Oryzias latipes: one gene and its partner. The protein of the gene in region 1 purifies or fractionates together with the protein of each later gene. This does not show direct contact. Links are inferred from orthologs where the notes say so. Each region holds a gene or a part of one and is shown on either strand. Other genes may lie near its edges. The genes, in order: fbxo22 and lysine-specific demethylase 4B.

Evidence for each region.
Region 2: the proteins of fbxo22 (region 1) and lysine-specific demethylase 4B purify together in Homo sapiens (affinity purification with western blotting; 3 studies listed by BioGRID, with this or other methods). This does not show direct contact. The link is inferred for Oryzias latipes from reciprocal best matches to the Homo sapiens genes FBXO22 and KDM4B.

What each region holds. Positions count from the first base shown.
Region 1 is NC_019861.2:26,481,558-26,484,236, reverse strand, and holds the end of fbxo22 (F-box only protein 22), read right to left. Parts: intron 2,318-2,679; coding exon 2,165-2,317; intron 2,084-2,164; coding exon 1,918-2,083; intron 1,809-1,917; coding exon 1,415-1,808; 3' UTR 738-1,414; downstream 1-737. UniProt on the Homo sapiens protein: Substrate-recognition component of the SCF (SKP1-CUL1-F-box protein)-type E3 ubiquitin ligase complex that is implicated in the control of various cellular processes such as cell cycle control, transcriptional regulation, DNA damage repair, and apoptosis.
Region 2 is NC_019862.2:10,434,964-10,438,788, forward strand, and holds part of lysine-specific demethylase 4B, read left to right. Parts: intron 1-212; coding exon 213-469; intron 470-553; coding exon 554-747; intron 748-1,566; coding exon 1,567-1,687; intron 1,688-2,414; coding exon 2,415-2,575; intron 2,576-2,666; coding exon 2,667-2,871; intron 2,872-3,825. UniProt on the Homo sapiens protein: Histone demethylase that specifically demethylates 'Lys-9' of histone H3, thereby playing a role in histone code. Does not demethylate histone H3 'Lys-4', H3 'Lys-27', H3 'Lys-36' nor H4 'Lys-20'.

The DNA of each region.
Region 1 (2,679 bases):
TGCTTTCCCAAAATAAAATACACTATGGGAATATAAACTGCCTTCACGGCAATTGGCTTAAGCATTTGCCATTCACTAGGATTAACCAGTCGATGGTTAAAGCCCACATCAATCAATCTGAAGCTCTATCCCGTTTTTTAAAACAAGTGTAAACGCGGAATACTGACTGAGTAATTGGCTGAGGCTTCAGTGCGCGTAAAACGCAAAAAACGCGCATTTGCATTTCTGTTTTTGCGTGGATTGAGAGCACAGATTCCGGGAGGAGCTGGACTGAACGGTCTAAAAAGGAGCCAAAAATCAATATTGTTCATATCATAGAAGAGAAGGACTTTGGGATATCTAGAAAACTGCAAAAAAAAAAATGTAAATTCTTCACAAAAACATTGTCAGAATCTTTTTTTTAAATAATTTAAAGGTGTTTTTTTTACAGAGATGCAATTTTCGCATTAAAAAGTTAAAGCCCTAATTTGCATTTTTTAATAAAAGTAATTTACTTAGATTTAACAATGACATTACAAATATTAACAGTAAGCTGGCAAATTACAAACAAGAAAATGATCATTAGGAAGTTTATTTTTGTAAGGAAAAGGCTATTTGACACAATTCCAGGCAAGAAAGAAGTATGAAAGGAGAATCTAAACACAAACCTTATTAAAAACACAACCTGGATTGTTGTTTTTTAAAGAAAAACATTTTTGGAAGAAAAAAAAAAGCCAAAGTAAAATAACTTCTCCAAATTTTCTGAACCAAAACTGTTTATTATCAACAGCAACATGAAAAAAAGCCCAAGCATTTATAAATATAAGCAGCAAATTATTATCTGGAATGTGGACAGAGCACACTGGAAAGCTTCCCCCTGCAATCCTGCAACCGAAACCATGAATTCTAATCAGTTGGCTTGACATCTTTTATTGGGAGCATAAATGTATAAAATGCATTTGATATACATTCCCCTCTTAAATGTTTCCATGGGGCTGGGGCCTATCCCTGTGGTCACACAATACTGGGTACATTCTGGATGGTTTACCTACACACCCTTAAAAGGGTAGATGTGGGAAAACTGTTTAATGTAAAAGATGCATACGTTTACCCTGTTACTCGTTTCTTTTACTTACAATAAAAGTGCCTTTGAAGAATCAATAACCTTTACACATGCTTGAGAAATACGGCAACACATAAACTCACCTTTAAGGAAAAGGGAGTCCTGTCAATGCACGCTGAATGTCTGATATATTGCTAAAAAAAATTAAAATATCAAACAGTATTTTACACTCCAGAAAATCTGTTTTTAAACCTCCAAAGGGGAACTTCTCGGCTTTGAAGGTTCAAAATCCTCCATTATTAGTATGCATGTCGTTAAATTTCTTCTGCAAACTTTCAACTTTTAGCGGATCTATTGACCACTGCAAAGCTTTCAGCCCAGATGGACAAGGGTCATGACCGTGGTGTACTCGTGCTGGAGGGTGTCCATGTCTGTGTCGCAAAGCGTGTAATCATCTTTAATGATGCGATCGCAGCCGATCTCTCCGTTGCCGAAAAGGCCGAAGAGCGGCGTCTTGGGGAAGACTTTGCGAAAAGCGTCTGCCTCCACGTTAGGCTGATTTTTGTAGTAGTTTTGGCCTCTCCCAACACAAGCAAACATTAACCCCAGGGTATTTTTCTCTGGCATCTTGGCTGCGCTTAGACGCCGGATAGTGGCTTCCGCGGTCTTTGGGCAGCTCACATCTTGGTCCAGAAGCACAGACGCTCCCTGGACTTTAGGGCCACTCAGGGCCAGTCCCACTGCGCCGTATGCACCATCGCTGCAGCTACAGAGTGGGAGATGGCGGAAAGTAGCAGGAAATGAAAGCAGCTCTTTACGTAACAGTAGTTATTCATCTTTTTCAAAGGAATCTTGGTAATAAGTTCGCAACTCACCAGTGTCTGGGAGGAGAGAACACACCTTCCACAATCCCTCCTGCGATCAGAGCCTTGGTCTTGGCCAGCGGCTCCAGAACTTGATTCAGAAAACGAGCTCCTCCAGTTTTATAGACTTCGTAAAAAAATATCAGCACTACACGCAGCTCTGAGTTATCAACTAATCCTGGAAGTCAACAAGCAGATGTTTATTACAAGAACAGACACAGAGAGCTGCTGAAAGTATAGCCTTATTTTAGTGACTAACCTGCATCTTTAAGGGCCGTCGGGGAGATGGTCTTCTTGCAAAAATGGAAGGGCTTGATGTTTACGCCCTCTGTGCTGGGGAACATGACTGCAAAGCCAGCCTCTCCATCTTGGTACTCCTGAGGAGAGCCGGAGCAAGAGCCAGTAGGAGTCACTGCAGAAAAGCGACCAGAACGTCACATATGAGGGGGGAGTATGGGAGCTGGAGCTCACAGCCTGTTCAGAACTATTCTTCTCCATAGCTCAAGATCCGATGAATATTCACTTTTTGAAGAAAAAACAAAAAAACACACACACAGGAAGGAAGAACTGCTATGAAAATCAACATCTTTCAATTAAGAAAAAACAAAAGAGCAGAAAATGTGTGCAGTTACAACCGTTTTACTAATGCATCAACTTTCTGCTTTCTCATTTAAATGTGAGACACTACTGTCAGAGTTCACTACACAGAAATGTGTTTTTGATTCAAAATCTGAGAAGTTATTGGTCATAATATCACAAACCAATACTGATGGT
Region 2 (3,825 bases), on another chromosome or scaffold:
GGGTATAATCTCTGTTGCTCTCCTCGTAAAGGTATCTTAGTCCGTTTGTCTTTCTTTCTTTTTTGAGTTGTTAGGATGTTGGAGGTTGTTTTAACCCAACACCTGAAGTGCGAATCACGTCCGGTGGGAATGCAGCATTAGATTAGTGTTCTAAAAGGCTCTTGTGTGTGATGTTGAGTTTTCTTTGACCGTCTCTCTCGGCGCCTCCCCAGAGCCATGCAAAAGATGAAAATGTTACGTCGTCTGAAGCTGGAGGAGGTGAAGGTCCTGGCAGAGGAGGGAATTTCTCTGAATGCTGCAGAGTATCAGCGCCAGGTGGAGGAACGTGAAGCTCAGCGCAAAAAGGAAAGGGAGGAGCGTTTAGCTCGAGAGGCCCTGATGACTCTGGAGGCCATGGAGCGGGAGGAGCAGGAGGCTGCTGCTAAAGCTGCAGAGACTCCAGCTGCTGACAGTGACAACAATATTAACCGTAGGAGACTGTAGTTATTATATTTTTGTTCAGACTATATAGTTAAGAAATCCTCCGTAATGACTTCAAATTCTTGTTTTAAAGCCCAAGGACAAGAAGTCCAACTACAGATCGGAACAGATGATGTTGACAAAAAGAAGCACAAAAAGCAGAAGAGGACTTCTAATGCTTTGTCTGGATTTGAAGAAGTCTTTGAGGAGTTCGCCAAATCGACCATGAAGAATTCAGCCAACATGATCAATGATTTCCCAGCAGACAATAAAGTGGATGTGACTCAGGTGAGACTCCAGAGATGAGTTATACTTTAATGTTTTTGGCTTGCAAGGGAAAACGCAACAGCTTTTTTATTTTAAAACCAATTCAAACACATAAAAATAACAATTCAGTTGGATCTTGTAATTTTTTGGATACAAATACTTGAAACTTTTCTGAATAAGATAGATAGATGGCTTGAATGCATGTTTGCACAGCTTTTACACTGACATAGGATATTAATTCCAGTGCAACTCGAATGAGATCAGACATAAAAGAAATACAGATGTACAGTTCAGAGTTGACTGAGGCTGCAGCAGTAAATTTGCTGCCTTGCTTAGGATGGGTGTGGATAGGTTGCAAATGGGGGGGGGGGGTATAGGGGCAATGGTGACAAAAAAAAGTCACATCTAAACACTGTGATACAATGCGTAGATACAAGACAAAAACTGCAGCGATTGAACACAAAAGCACATATTCACACGGTACACAAGGTTCAGTGGGTGGGAGGGTGGGTGTCCCCCTGTGTTACAATCCGAGCGCAGCTGCAAAAGAGCGCGCTAGTCATAGGAATGCCGAGGTCAAGAGGGGGGAACAGTAGCATCGGCCTTTAACATTTTCACACTCTGGAAGAGAATATCTTTTTGTTGAAGACAAGGAGTCCTCAGCTCAGGGGGGGGGGGGGGCTGATTAGATTACATTTCCCGGTCTAGCAGGTTGTTTGCTCTGCCGGCTTTGTCCTTGACTGGTCTTGCTGTTCAACATGCTGCTTCAAGTTAAATTTGTATAAAGTAAAAGGTGTTTCATAAAACCAAAGAATAACAGGAAATGACCTCTTTTATCAGACGAGCTTCTCTAAGATGAAAATGCCAACAGAGGTGAAGAAGAGTCGGCGCCACCCGCTGAGCAAGCCTCCCACTCGAACACCTCCATCTGTCGTGAAGCAGGACCCGGCCAGTGAGAAAGGTATCCCCCTTTATGTGACGTTTACAACATTTTTGTGACATTACTAGTTTTTGGTTGTAAAATAAAAAAAAAATTGGAATTGAAAGTTTTTATTTCCATTTGTCCTGTTTATCATTTTACTATAATAAGACATGTTCTATGCTGTCCTTTGAATGAATAATATGGAGGGAAAAAACAAACAGGTGATTCGACCATCACAGTGTAGAGGGTGAAATCAAGATGATGTCTCTCCCCGCTGTGTTTTTCGTTTTTTGTTTTCTGACTGACACTTATTGATCTGGAGATCATGACTTCCAATTACCTGCTTTCAAAGTCACTTTATGTTGGCAGCCGGGGACCAGACTCGGCCTGTCCTTCAGAAGGATGGATGGGGGAGAGGGGGAAGGCTGGTGGAGGAAAAACACGCTCCACTTTTTAAGGGGAAGCTTGTGAAAAAATATCCCTGACTTTAGTGAAGCAGTGTTTCAGTGACTTGAAGGCTTCACTGCCATGTCGATGTACCTGAAACAAACTATTGATTCTCTTCTGGTTCTTCATCCAATTATGTCAGAAGTGATGGTGTTACTTTCCCGGAGCGGTGCATTTTGTCACTATTTCTAGACAGGGCTCCTCTGGAGATTCGAAGCATAGATGTGTTTCAAAGGCCACATGGATTCCTGAAATTAAGATTTTGAATGACTCCAAATTGTAGATATGGGGCTTAACTGGCGTATTGTTTTGTCCACAGAGCTTTCTTCTCAAATTCGCCTTGATAGTGACATGAAGAAGCAGGAGCACCTATGGCAGAATCACTCTCCCAACTTCTTGGCAGAGAAGGCCTTCAATGCTGCTGTGGCTGCACTCCAACCTCACTGTGCCGTCTGTTCCCTCTTCTGTCCTTACGCAAAGGTAGAAACCGCAGATCTTGCAGCAGTTTCCCATTTGTCTTAAGTTCCGCCCTGTTGAGGCCTTTTCTTGTCGTTCTCCGTGACCACTCAAGCCGCAGAAAGACGGCTCAGTTGCGAATGAGGCCGCAAACGCCCCCTTCCCCCGTCACGGCAGCTGGACTCGTCCTCTGGTGCCAGAGATGTGCTTCAGTGTCGGAGCAGGAAACCCGGAGCCGCCCCCCACCAACCACCACATCAGGGAGGATGGCACCAGTCTACTGCTGCGCTGTACCTCCTGTGAAATGCAGGTTCATGCCAGTAAGTATTAGCTGCAGCAGGAAAGCTATGGAAGGCACATATACAAAAAAAGTAAGCTAAAAATTGCATTTCTAAGTATTTCTTTATTCAAACTGTTGTGCACCAGTAGCAGACAAAAAAAATGCAAAAGAAAAAGATTATATTTGTTCCGTAGAAAAATACAGTGAGCAGGGCCACAAGCTCCCTGCTCCGCTCCGTTCTGATACATCGTCTTGCAGAAGATTTGATCCATGTACGTCGTCGTTTTCTTCATCCAAGTTGGCATCTGGCTTAAAACTGTACAGATGGATAGCTCCGATTTTTTTTTCTTCAAGGCAAATTTTTAATGAACTCCTGCCACTTTGCTGAAACTGTTCTAGAAAACGACATTGTTTTTATTTTATTTTGGCTAAAAATTATATAAGCACCTTTAAATAGTTCAAAAGATGATCGAAGTGGGACTTTAAGACTGTCCATTTAAATTCACATATAGTTTAGTTTAGATTCTTTTTTTATTCGGTTTAAAAATCACTTTTTATTTAAATTGTCTTAAAATAAGCCAACACTATCTTCTATATTATTTTCTCTATTTAATATTTTATTTACAAATATCGACAGAAGATATCCATTAGATTGGATATCTTTAATTTATTTTAGTGCGTTTTAATGCTGCAAATAAAATGAAGCTAACAAAACCAATTTAATTCACAGGAAGCCGATCTGTAAAACCCACTCTAAAAACCAACTCTTCCCAAATCCGTTTGTTTGTGTGTACATGTCTAAACATGCAAAAATCTCCATAAAGGTCCAGACATTTGGACACATATGTAGAAGACAGAACATGCATCAACCCTCCTGGGTTCTTATTAGCCCCAAAGCCGGAATGCACCTTTCAGGTCGGAGAGGAGCTTGATTCAGCTGCTGAAACGACACTGCCATTCGTGAGCTGATGTGAAGCATCCAGTCTGTCCACTT